Linked DNA regions of Arabidopsis thaliana. The protein of the gene in region 2 interacts with the protein of the main gene of each other region in a pairwise test. Each region holds a gene or a part of one and is shown on either strand. Other genes may lie near its edges.

What was found.
Region 1: the proteins of CYCD4;1 (region 2) and CDKE;1 interact in a two-hybrid assay, tested with the Arabidopsis thaliana proteins (one large-scale study listed by BioGRID).

What each region holds. Positions count from the first base shown.
Region 1 is NC_003076.8:25,462,430-25,467,904, reverse strand, and holds CDKE;1 (cyclin-dependent kinase E;1), read left to right. Parts: upstream 1-1,982; 5' UTR 1,983-2,182; intron 2,183-2,742; 5' UTR 2,743-2,847; coding exon 2,848-4,260; 3' UTR 4,261-4,543; downstream 4,544-5,475. Other genes in the region: AT5G63620 (GroES-like zinc-binding alcohol dehydrogenase family protein), read left to right, coding at 1-95, 176-245, 330-423, 511-724, 818-959, 1,041-1,218, 1,341-1,525. UniProt on the Arabidopsis thaliana protein: Involved in cell differentiation. Required for the specification of stamen and carpel identities and for the proper termination of stem cells in the floral meristem.
Region 2 is NC_003076.8:26,139,035-26,147,652, reverse strand, and holds CYCD4;1 (CYCLIN D4;1), read left to right. Parts: upstream 1-3,659; 5' UTR 3,660-3,902; coding exon 3,903-4,163; intron 4,164-4,310; coding exon 4,311-4,340; intron 4,341-4,469; coding exon 4,470-4,556; intron 4,557-4,658; coding exon 4,659-4,757; intron 4,758-4,848; coding exon 4,849-5,053; coding exon of another isoform or gene 5,054-5,127; intron 5,128-5,189; coding exon 5,190-5,317; coding exon of another isoform or gene 5,318-5,353; exon of another isoform or gene 5,354-5,540; coding exon of another isoform or gene 5,541-5,543; exon of another isoform or gene 5,544-5,914; coding exon 5,915-6,061; 3' UTR 6,062-6,183; downstream 6,184-8,618. UniProt on the Arabidopsis thaliana protein: May activate cell cycle in the root apical meristem (RAM) and promote embryonic root (radicle) protrusion.

The DNA of each region.
Region 1 (5,475 bases), 680 kb from region 2:
GAGATACCGTTCGCTAGTCCTTGTGTTATTGGTCATGAGATTACTGGTGAAGTTGTTGAACATGGTCCACTTACTGATCACAAGATCATTAATAGGTTTGTCAACTTTACTTCACCTCCACACTAATGGAATCATATGTTTTGAAGAAATCCTAAATGTCTCAACTTTTCTTCAGATTTCCAATCGGGTCTCGTGTAGTTGGAGCTTTCATTATGCCTTGTGGAACCTGTTCTTATTGTGCTAAGGTGAGAACGAAATTGTATTGCTTTCATCGGATTCTCTAATCTGAGAACTGTAGCTTTTTAGCTGATATTTTAATTTGGATACAGGGCCATGATGATCTATGTGAAGACTTCTTTGCTTACAACAGAGCCAAGGGAACTCTTTACGATGGCGAAACTCGTCTCTTTTTGCGACATGATGGTAAATTTGAAGACTTTTTAAACATCAGGTGGCATATTAGGAGAACTGTGATTGTTTTACCTAATTACATTTCTTAATTTCTGGCAGATTCACCAGTGTATATGTATAGTATGGGAGGGATGGCTGAGTACTGTGTTACACCAGCTCATGGTTTAGCTCCTCTACCAGAGTCTTTGCCCTACTCTGAATCTGCCATTCTGGGATGTGCTGTTTTTACAGCATATGGTGCTATGGCTCATGCTGCTGAGATCCGTCCTGGAGATTCTATTGCAGTTATTGGAATTGGTGGTGTGGGCTCCAGGTATGTTAAATGTGTGGCATTTTCTTTTCTTTACCGGATTTGGGTTTTATTGCTTCTTGTATGACCATAACCATCTTTGAGTTGTTGCTTCAGTTGTTTGCAGATCGCAAGGGCTTTTGGAGCCTCGGATATCATTGCTGTGGATGTTCAGGATGATAAATTACAGAAGGCCAAGACACTTGGTGCTACTCATATTGTCAATGCTGCTAAAGAAGATGCTGTTGAAAGGATAAGAGTATGGTTGATTCAAGACCTCTTATTTGTGAAGATGAACCATTGATTGATATAAATATGAAAAACTGTTTCTTCTTCGTAGGAAATAACCGGTGGGATGGGTGTTGATGTTGCTGTTGAAGCCTTGGGAAAGCCTCAAACTTTCATGCAGTGCACACTAAGTGTGAAAGATGGTGGAAAAGCTGTGATGATTGGACTCTCACAAGCTGGTTCCGTTGGAGAAATTGACATAAATCGACTTGTTCGTAGAAAGGTTTGGGGTTCTTACTCTCTCTCTCTCGGCCTTGTTAGAAGAAAGTCTCTGGTACTGAGATTGTCTTTTAAGATCATGATATTGAATCTCTTTTTGTTCTGTTTTTCCAATTTTTTGTGAAGATAAAAGTTATAGGATCTTATGGAGGAAGAGCAAGACAGGATCTTCCTAAAGTAGTGAAATTGGCAGAGTCAGGGATTTTCAATCTCACAAACGCAGTCTCAAGTAAATACAAGTTTGAAGATGCAGGAAAAGCATTTCAAGATCTCAACGAAGGCAAAATCGTGAGCCGAGGTGTTGTTGAGATACTATAACCAATATAGCCTTTTGATTCTGGTTTGTGAATGACTGCTTCACACCTGTTTCACTGAGGTCTATTTTTAGTTGCTACAATCTTCAGACAAGGTCATTGTTAATCTGATATTTGTGTTTGTTTAGACAGTGAAAAGGAAAAAAAAAAACTGTAGTAACTGGACAAAATTTATAATTTTACTGTTTTTCATTTCTTTCCAACATTTATTGTTTTTCTATACTGTTAATATTTTTAATTTCTTCCCTCTTTTCACAATTTTCTACTTTCTAAGAATATTAATAACTGACATATATATAAAAAAACACAATTTATTTCTCTTTTGATAAAATTATCTATAAATCATTAAATCTTTGATGAGAAATATCCAATCTACTAATGTATATCGATGATTTAAATGAAATTACTTATTTGAACACAAAAATAAATGAATTTACTAATAAATAAATAGCGTAGTTGGAGCAAGTGGCTAAAAAAATTACAAATCTAGTTTCCATTCTCAGCGTCGGCTGCTTGGAACGTCACCGTTTTCTGGAAAACGCAATCTTCTCCCTTCCGTGACGTCTCACCGGAATTTTCTCGCTTTTGTCTACTCTCCTCCATCTCCGAGGTTCTCCAAGCTCAGCTCCTCTTCCCATCATTCATCCGACCGCCTTATCCGGTCAGATCCTTTACGTATTTCTATTTTCCTGATCGTCGATTTTTGAGAAATGTAAAAACAGATCGTATAAGGCCTCGAAGTTTTTAATTTGAAAGTGGTATCGAAATTTTTTGGTCTTTGATTAGGTTAGGGCACCGTAGCTCTGGGTATTGAATTTGTAGGGTTTTCCTCTGGTTATTGGTCTTTGGAGCTTGGTAATTTCTGCTGAATTGATTGATCCCTTTTCCATCTTTTGAAGTAAAGTCTCGAGCTTTCGTGTCTCGATGTAGATGAATTCTATTTTGAATATGAGATTTGATAAGACGTCAATTGCTGATAATTTGGAGTCTTTGTGTCTGAATTTGTTCATATGAAGTTTTCTGAGGGATGTGAATTTTATTGTCTGCTAATTTTGAAACGTTCCTTTTGGAATTTGGTTTGTGAGGAGTCCTAGATCTTTTTCTGTGAAGTTTCTTGCTTGTAAGTTTTCTGGATCACTTGATTGAGTCTAGAATCTAGATAGATTACATGTACGGTTTGATTCCTTTGGCTGATTTTCCAAAGTTTTGTTCAAATTTCAGGAGAACTACAAAGAGGAAACCAAGATTGTTTTGTTTTGTTAGACTCTACCCCTTTTCCGATTCACATGGTAAGGACATTGAGGTAGAGAATAATACTAAAAAGCAATGGGAGATGGGAGTTCCAGTAGATCCAACAGCTCAAACAGCACTAGTGAGAAACCAGAGTGGCTGCAACAGTACAATCTCGTTGGTAAGATTGGTGAAGGCACTTATGGTCTTGTTTTCTTGGCTAGAACCAAGACTCCGCCTAAAAGACCTATTGCTATCAAGAAGTTTAAGCAGTCCAAAGATGGAGATGGAGTTTCCCCGACTGCTATCCGCGAGATCATGTTGCTTAGAGAGATTTCCCATGAGAACGTCGTGAAGCTTGTGAATGTCCACATCAATTTTGCAGACATGTCTCTGTATCTTGCCTTTGATTATGCCGAGTACGATCTCTATGAAATCATCAGGCACCACAGAGACAAAGTCGGCCATTCGTTAAACACATACACAGTTAAGTCTTTGCTCTGGCAGCTTCTCAACGGATTGAACTATCTTCACAGTAATTGGATTATACACAGAGATTTGAAACCGTCGAATATCTTGGTTATGGGTGATGCAGAAGAGCACGGAATAGTGAAAATAGCTGATTTCGGGCTCGCAAGGATATATCAAGCTCCGTTGAAACCACTATCGGATAACGGAGTTGTGGTCACAATCTGGTACCGAGCACCAGAGCTGCTTCTTGGTTCGAAGCACTACACGAGCGCTGTTGATATGTGGGCAGTTGGGTGTATATTCGCGGAGTTACTAACTCTTAAACCGTTGTTTCAAGGAGCAGAAGCGAAATCGTCTCAAAACCCTTTCCAGTTAGATCAACTTGACAAGATATTCAAGATCTTAGGCCACCCGACGATGGATAAATGGCCAACACTAGTTAACCTTCCACACTGGCAAAATGATGTTCAACACATTCAAGCTCACAAATACGACAGTGTGGGTCTCCACAACGTGGTTCACCTGAATCAGAAAAGTCCTGCGTATGATCTGTTATCCAAAATGCTGGAATATGATCCTCTAAAGCGGATCACGGCTTCACAAGCACTAGAACACGAGTATTTCCGAATGGATCCTCTCCCAGGACGGAACGCATTTGTAGCCAGCCAACCGATGGAGAAGAATGTGAATTACCCAACTCGTCCAGTAGATACAAACACCGATTTCGAAGGCACGACAAGCATCAATCCGCCTCAAGCAGTAGCAGCAGGAAACGTAGCAGGGAACATGGCAGGAGCTCATGGAATGGGCAGTAGATCGATGCCAAGACCAATGGTTGCACATAACATGCAGAGGATGCAGCAATCTCAAGGCATGATGGCTTATAATTTCCCGGCACAGGCAGGGCTTAACCCGAGTGTTCCGCTGCAGCAGCAGCGCGGGATGGCTCAACCGCACCAGCAGCAACAGCTAAGAAGGAAAGATCCCGGAATGGGTATGTCAGGTTACGCACCTCCTAACAAATCCAGACGCCTCTAAAGGTAAAATCGAGATCATCAGTCTCGGGTTAGAATCTGTGTGTTTGCCGCAGAAGAAAGCGTTGCGATTTGCTTTATAGAGTAGAGTTAGATTGTAATGCAGCATGTGGAATGTTGCTATTCATATGGATGGATTGGATTCTCTGTAGTTTTTGTATAAACATCCTCTCAAGTATTTGTTAATTATATTAGATCATCATTTCTCTTAACATCATTTCTCAAAACGTAGTAAATAGGAGATTTGCCAAGTGAAAAATATATATAATGAGACAGTTATTATGAACACAATTTACAGTTATTATGAACACAATTTTGGTGATGTTTCTACTGTTTATGAAATTTGTTTTTTTTTTACCTGCCAGTCTTATCTATTTACCACCAACATACATTAGAATCTAATGTAATTACATCATCAATCATAGACCTAATGAATATTTAATACCACACAGTTTAAACATTGCTATTAAAGTTTGAAAAGATTATACTTTAGTAAAATAATGTTTTCAAACTTGTATTCAATTATACTACGTAAGCAGTGATCCAATTATTACGAACATAATACTTTTCCAAATCAAAATTTTGTTTTTGTTCACCTTACCATCAGTTTCATAATAGAAATATTATATATATACAACACAAACAAATGAATGAGAAATGTTTTTCTATTATTATGACTTTTATTTAAGATTCAAAAGAACGAAGAAGAGTTATATATATGCTTGTTTGTTTCAGGACAAATACAATAAATAAGTGGATAAGAAAACCACAAACCTTGAACTAGCCTGAAATGTGTGAACCAAGCTATACAAACTGTACGTGATTCTGCATCGTGGAAGTCACAAACAGACTTCTGACTTCTGCTAAAGATAAAACTCACTGTTTGCAAGCAATTTAGTATAAATATGAAGCATTGACCTACCAAGATCGACACAATCACACAGTTTCTTCTTAATTAAACCTAGCTATTTTTGTCTTTAGCAGAAGTCAGAAAGCTAGTTTTGTATTTTTCTTATTTCTTAAATATATGGCGGCCAATGTTATGAGACGGTTTATGATTTAAAGATACACAATGGACCCACGACGTTGCCATAATACAATTATTAGGCTGTTAATTAACGTGATCGTTACGTTTGCTACAAACTAGCTAGTTGTGTCTTCTTTATTTTAGTAGATAAGTATAAGAGTCTAAAAATATTACAACCCAATAATGGTTACA
Region 2 (8,618 bases):
CTTGAGTTCTCGTTCTCACTCGAACTTAATGCTCATTAGCCGAGGGAGAAACGAATTTTTGAAGGCATATAAAGGTAAAAGTCTCTGCTCTAATAATTAATTCCTCTAGTTTTCCCTTTACCATTAGAAGATTTCTCTGTTAATTGCTGTGTTTGTCATCTTCCATACATGTTTTATAGAGTTCAACAAACATTAAGATGCTCTGTTTTAGCTGTCATGACTCTGTTTAGTTAGTGTAGTAAACTATTTTAGTTATATATGTGTGTCTTCAATTATATATATCATGTTGTGAGATCAATTATGTGTATGGTATTCTGAGTTTTATATATGTTCTGTACTAGGAAAACTGAATGGTTTTTTAATATTTGTGAAAAGCAAAGACATAAAAGGTTTTGTCTAAAAAGATTTTTGGATTTTTATAGTAAGCGTACTAATTATACATGAAGCAAAATTGTTGACAGCGGAAGATTAAAGAATTGTAATGAAAATTGATCTTGATTAATTTTGCAGAGTGGTAGTGAAGGAAACAGAGCATATTGGGCTGTGTCCAGAGTTTTCCATCTTCTGCTTGGCCAGCCTTTGAAGTTAACCAGACTCTGTGTATATAAACTATTGTAACATGTTTTTTTTGTTTTTTGATGACATGGATCATGTATAGATCATAGATGTGTGTATAGGGGTGTGGATGAAATAGCGGGGACGTGTGTAACATGTGTGTAGATGTATGTGTAGGGTGAATGTGTGTAGATGTATGTGTAGGGTGAATGTGTGTATGTCTAGTCTGCGTAGATGGGCGTGTGTCGAAACAAAATGATCACACACAAATGACTAACAAATCTAATCGCTCTAACCAAACGATCGCTAGTCGAAACACTAAAATTACTAACTTGGTCCCGAATCGTTAAAAGAACAAATGGCTACCAGTTCACACAAATGACCAACAAATCTGATCACTAACACTTAGTCGAAATTCACTAGAAAACTGAACAGACGATCGTTGGAACACACTAAAATTGCTAAACTAACTCGGTACCTAATCGTTTAAGACCAATAAACACACAAATAAATGAGGTACTTGTTCGGGAATTGAGGATTTTTGGATTTTTGAATTTAGTATTCGGAGATTTTAGAGTCTGATAACTTATTCAAACCACTCGAAAATACACAAAATATTTAAAAGTTTTTGAACAGTTTTTATTTAAATTTATTTAAATAATTTTAAATATCTGAAAATCTGCATATTTTGACAATTAGAATATGTAATATATAAATTGTGGATATAAAATCAGTTTTTCGGGTTTGAAATTTGGATTTAGATTTGATTTGGATTTGATCGGGGTTTGAAACCCTAAAACTGATGATCACCTAAATCGTTTTAGACTTCACTAATTAGTTAGATTTATTTTAAATTCTTTACAGGTCGGACCAAACCGATGGATTCAGCCGACGTTTTCATTATAATTTTTTTAAAAAACATCTAACTTCGGATTTGAACCATCAGGCCATGTGACTCGAGCAAAGTGTTTGTTAAGTTGACATAGGCGTGCATAAAACACGAATTATATATTCACTATACCAAAAAAAAAAGTTATATAGAGAGAGGCAGAAACTTACAAGTTAGAATCTCAGAACACACAAAGAGTAGCAAAACATCAAAAGTGTACTTGGACCACTTTTGTCTGGCATTTCACATTTGCATGCATGAAAGATAATAAAAATCTATAAATAGTTGAGCCTTTTAAGTTTAATTCGGAAAAAAAAACGCTTCATTCTTTTTTTTGCTTTAACTTAAACTTTTGTTTCTTCTCACCGCTCGAAAAGATAATCAAATTTAAAGACAGTAAAAACATCAAAGTTTATTAGCTGACACGTGATTGTCACAATCACGTTATTACTATACTTACTACTACACTACCAACAAAATAAAAGAGCACCTTGGTAAAATGATATAATACATTTCTTTTATATCTTATAAAATTCTACAAACCGAAAGATCAAACATGCTCGCGGTCGTATAGTTTTTTTTTTTTTTAATTTATGTTAAAGGGTTTTTTGCGGTCGTATAGTTGTAGACTTGTTTCTACTTTACAATTTCAAAAAGCTGTGTGTTTTGGTGCGCATCGGTGATTTCTAAAACTTAGTTGGATAAGAATATATTGTATGAACAGGAGTTTATCTTTACAATTTTTTAAGACTCCGACTGATAATGAAGAAACGAGAAAATATGAAAATTGTAAGAATAACAGATATAATATAGAATGAAATTTGATTTTTGAAAGTAAGATAATCGTTTTCAAGGAAAAATTTTCTTTATTATTGCAATGAATTTTGTGTAATTCATTTGCTTCCTACAAAATACGACTTTGTTAACTAAAATGACAATGAGCTAATGTTTGATGTTTCATTCCATAACATGACTATATAGTAGTTGAAAGTTGAAACCAGTGGCTCGATGACTATTTGCCATGTAACCTCAAGCAAGAAATTCTCGTGTGGTGTTTTCAAGCAACTCGTCGCGTAGCTAGCTTTATTTTCATGTGGTAGAAAATTACTAATTACTATTTATAAATAAAAAATACTAATCTCCTTACAAATATACTAATGTAGAATCTTTGGAGGTGATAGAGCACTAGTTATTGACCTCAACTTGCAAGAGAACAAAAATAAATACTTTTATAAATATTAAAAACCTTATAGTTAAATCTTATAAGTTGGGTAAAACAGAAGACAGTATATTTGGGTAAACTAAAACCATATTAAAGAAAGACCATAATGTGTAAAAAACAAAGACCATATTGTGTAACAAACAGAGACCATATTTTGAACTTAAATGAGTATATGACGTAGTTCTTATACAAATATACAGTCTGCTTTTTCATTCAAAGGTATATGCAATGATGATAGATATTGAAATTATTGTGTCTAAAAGTGACCCTAGAATCAAAAAACAGTGGTCAAAGATCTACCAGAGCAAATGGTTCAAATATCATTATAGATGGATTTTGAGTCAAATTTTACATTCAAAACTTCTTTTTATTTGTGGCATGAATTTACATTAGTTTTTTTGGGGTCATTTTTATTTTGTTCAATGTCGGATATTGAAAATAAAATATCATGATTCAGCGTATATTTCGATCATAATATCAAATTGCATTATTTAGTCAAACAATTTTGTTAAAAAATATTTCCTAAGATTTATAGAATTCAATACTGTTTTAAACTATTAGTCAAACTATATATATTTTACTGTTATTAAAACAAGGAATAAAATTATGAAATATCAAAAAATATGTAAAGACATATACTATGATTAAATCTTTCAACATTCAATATTTTACCATTGAATATACAAAAATGTTAACTGTTAACTATGCATACAAGACCGAAATACAAATTCCAAAAAACTTATGGCGCAAATCTGATACCGAACTACCAACGATATTCACTCGATTCATCATCTAAAAACTAAAATACAACGAATAAAACCAACTAACTTTTCAATTCTCACCTCAATTTCCTACCACATTTTCATAATTTTCCAACTTCTCACATTTGTTACCATGATAGTCAATTCACTTTCTAAAATCTTCAAATTTTATCTTACATTTTTCATCTTCTTCACCATTATATATAGCCTCTCTCCTTCTCACACAATCTCCATCTTACCCTAAAAACCACATTTCTTAACTTCCTCAATAAAAAAAAGAAAAGCTTCACCCTTTAATTTTACCCTCAACCCCAAAACAAAAACCCCTTCCTCCACGAGGGCATACAGAAATATCAAAGACCCAATCTTTCTTTCACTTCCCCAATCTCTAGATGACAATCTAACGATACAGTTCCTTTTAGATCGATTACCAAATACAAAGGATCAATTTTTCTTACATGAACACTCTGTTGTAATGGCAGAGGAGAATCTAGAACTGAGTCTTTTATGTACAGAGAGCAACGTTGATGATGAGGGCATGATTGTTGACGAAACTCCGATTGAAATTTCGATTCCTCAGATGGGTTTTTCTCAATCGGAGAGTGAGGAGATTATCATGGAGATGGTGGAGAAGGAGAAGCAGCATTTGCCAAGTGATGATTACATCAAGAGACTTAGAAGTGGAGATTTGGATTTGAATGTTGGAAGAAGAGATGCCCTCAATTGGATTTGGAAGGTCTGATTCTCTATTTGATTTTGATTTCTGGTTTTGAAATTTGGATGTTGATTGGTTTTGAATGATCTGTATAAGCTCAAATTGTGAAAAGCACAATCCTTTTGATGAATGATCTGAACATAAAGAGTGTGTTGCTATGTCTATTAGATCAGAGGCTTATGCAGAACAGATAGAGAGGTTTTGTCTTAAATCTGTAAATCTGATGCTCAATTTCCGATCTTTCACACTTCAATTGACAATAGATTCACTTCAGTCTCAGAGTTTTAGATCTCTAATTGATCTTTTCTTCTGTTCTGATTACAACAGGCTTGTGAAGTACACCAGTTTGGACCATTGTGTTTTTGCTTAGCAATGAACTACTTGGATCGATTCTTATCGGTTCATGATTTGCCTGTAAGTTCACATTGGTTAAACTAAAAGATTGATAATGTTTTTAGCCATTCATCATCAAAAAGTCTCATTTTTTCGCTTCTTGATTTGTGATTCTTCTTGTAGAGTGGCAAAGGTTGGATATTGCAGTTGTTGGCTGTGGCTTGTTTATCATTGGCAGCCAAAATTGAAGAAACTGAAGTTCCAATGTTGATAGATCTTCAGGTTCTCCTCTAAACTCGTTAAATTGTCGAGATGTTCTATTCGACCCGACAATGTCTTGAATCGATTGCGGTTTGATCACATTTCGGAACAGGTTGGAGATCCTCAGTTTGTGTTTGAGGCTAAATCAGTCCAAAGAATGGAGCTTTTGGTGTTGAACAAATTGAAATGGAGATTGAGAGCAATAACTCCATGCTCATACATAAGATATTTCCTGAGAAAGATGAGTAAATGTGATCAAGAACCATCCAACACATTGATATCTAGATCATTACAAGTGATAGCCAGCACAACCAAAGGTGAAAAAAAAAGTCTTTCCTTTATGTTTTATTTTCTTGACCACTTTTGTTTTTGTGCTTTTTTGGGTTTTGTTGTTTTTTTCACTTTTGCTTTTTATGATTTTGGATTAAAATGGTGGTTGTGTCGAGTGAGCAGGTATTGACTTTTTGGAGTTTAGACCTTCTGAAGTTGCTGCTGCTGTGGCACTTTCTGTTTCTGGAGAATTGCAGAGAGTACACTTTGACAACTCTTCCTTCTCTCCTCTTTTCTCACTACTTCAAAAGGTAAAAAACAATCCACCAAACATCTCAAACTCATAAATCTATTGTTTTTTAATACCAAACACACACACACATATAAAGCAGCCTTTGGTGGTTCAATTTCAAGGAAATGCCAGTTGTGGAGAAGTTTGAACTCATTAAAGATGACACATTTATGTGTATATATGTGTGTGCACTAACTTATTCATTGCATACACATAATATGTGTAATTATAAATCCAAAAAGTAAAAAAAAAAAAAAAAAAAAAAAGAGAAACCGGTTAATGGGTCTGAATCCTTTGACTTCCAAAACTAGTGGAGAGTAGACCAAAGACCACTTTAAATTATATTATTCTCTAGCTATGTGTCTTGTGACTCTCTCTGTCACACACACACATTCACTGCACAGCCTCTAGTCACATCTAAAACCAATCTGCCCCCACAAAAACATGTTTGATTCTGATTTGATCTTGCAATCCAAAACATCAGCCTGGTTTCCATTAGTTGTTTTTCTACACCAGAAAAAGCTGAAGAGATCTTTGTGTGTTGTGTTTGTGTTTGTGTTCAAGAGACAAAAACAAAAGTGTCAAGCTTTAAACTTTGTGGTTCCTTTTATTGCAGGAGAGAGTGAAGAAGATAGGGGAAATGATAGAGAGTGATGGCTCAGACTTATGTTCACAAACACCCAATGGGGTTTTAGAAGTATCGGCTTGTTGTTTCAGCTTTAAGACCCATGATTCTTCTTCTTCTTATACACATCTTTCTTAAAAAAAAAACTGTTTTTTTCTTACATTATTATAATCAGTATGATGTCTGATGAGAGGTTGAAAAAAGAGGACAATAAATCAAAGCAAAAATTTTTAAATAAATAAAAGTGTATTAATTTCAATATTTGATTTGTTTATAGCTTTGGTAATACTGAACAAATAAAATTATAAGAATTTTTTGTTGGCAGGAAATAGCAAAAAAGAGAAAGAAAATAAAACAAAGGAAAAACAGAGCTTTTTTTAATTGGTTCCCGCCAAATAAATATAGCGGGAAAAAACCGTATCGGTTCTGTTGAGCGTTAGAGTTGACCTTTTTTAATTCAAACGGTGCCGTTGTGAGATAAAGCGCGCATCGCACTAATGGGCTTAGAATTGGGCCCACGAACAGAAGTCTTTGACTTAAAGTTGACGTAAAGAGACCAAAGCTAGGTTGTGCTTTATGGAGCTTTTGCGTTTTATACCTTTTATCAACAAAACTCCAAAATCCCAATATTTTATTGAAAACTTTTTAACAAAAAATAAATAAAATGATTGGACTCCAGGTCCACTAAACCTCTAGGATCTGTAACTATGAAGAAAATGGGCCAATGCTATATTCATTAAATTTAATCATTTGGGTCTACCATTGTCGCATGGCATACTAGCAATTTGATGATCCTGAAATAAAATAATTGTGCGTGGAGATAATTTATGAAGATTTCCCCTTTTTGTATCATTTTTTAAATAGACATTTTTAATCTGAAAAGGTTAAAAAAAAGTCTCTATACATCATTAAACAAGTCGGTCTAATCTTGTGAAATAGTTGTGTAAGAAAAAAACTTAAATTATGTATTAACAAATGCTAGTTGGTATATATTTTCTTTAAAATAATTACAATTTTAACTCATAACATTTGTTGTATTCAGTTATTTTCTATATGTCTCAATAATCAATAAAATAAATAATGTTAGTAATAACCATCATGTAATTGGTGAATGTGAAAGATCATCTGTCATTGAAAACTTTGTGAATATGATTTTATCACTGCATATACTAGACTTTTAAATTTATTTAGCTTTTCACTAATTATATTAATGGTGTTCAATTTTAGGATCCTAGACACAGTCAAAATTAATCTTCACGGAATGATATATATATATATATATATACGTACATAATTATATGTCTGTGTACGATTGTGTGAAAATTTTGAAATGAAGAAACTATTTGGAGTTGGACAGAGGACTAAGTGAAGACAACAATACAAAACAAATAAACTTTTATAATTCTTTCATTGGGCTTTGTCATAATGAGTCGTCACAGTCATTCAACTGTCCAAATTATATATTTTTTATTTTCCCTGAAATAAAAGTTGCTAAAAGTTATAGCTTCTAAACTTTTCTCAACCTTTGCCTTTTCTTTTACATATGAACTAAAGAGAAAATACTTTTCCTTTTTTTCCCAACTATTAATTTGTATTAGATTAGCAAATTCAACTAAGATGGTACAAACCATCCCACTAGACCCAAATACAAATCTAAAATATTTTTCCTTTCGTATAAAGAAAAACAAATTACGTATTTAAGAATTCCATACAATCGTAAAATTCTTTGAATCATGGTACGACATGACTAATTAACTACATATCTAAGAATAAGTAAAAATTGAAATGTAAAGCAGGAAAGAAAAAAAAAATTATTCATTGCACGTGAATCATCATCAGTTTCCCAAATTAGGGCAATGTTTATGAAGCTAAGAGTATGCCCATATCATATAGTTTAAAGAAATATAAAACCCTAACCCTAGCTTGTCCTACTAACCCTAGCTTGTCCTACATTTAAATTTACGCAATCAAAATAAAGCTTTTTACTTTTTCATATTAAAAAACTACTTGTTTCGAAACTTAGCTTGAAAGGGAGGTAATAAACCCTGCTTGCGGGTCACATTTAGATTCCCTAAATGAAGCATAACGACAGTAACAATTCCACAGTAAAAACACTGTGAGAATGATGATGATGGTGATGATAATGATGATGATGATGATATAAACGTATACACTCATATAATATATGTATGGTACATAATATACACATTGATGGGTCGTTGTCCGATGGGTTTCTGCGTATTGACTGAAAGATTCCATGAAGAGGACCACAGTAAAATTAAAAAATCATGTTTAAATAAATAGTATTATTATCTGATCAAAATATTATGCTCCTCAATAATTTCAATTTCACCATACATCCAAAAACAACCCTAAAATTCATTTACTTAACTACTTTTCTTTTTTTGATAAATTAACTTAACTACTTTAATTTTCACTACTTTCTATGAACATTTATTACAAGTTCAGACTCCAACGTATGGTACGAACATTTCTCATTACTGCATCAGCGAGTAAACATTTCTCCCCTCTGAATAAAGTCTATAATCATAATATTTATACATGTCCTCATCATTATTTCTCTTATAACTCGATTTATGAAGCAATGTAGACGAAATTAAAATTTCTAGCAACTAAAAGTTATACGTAAAATTACGATCTAACTTAGCCAAGATTTGTATTAAAGTTCAACTGA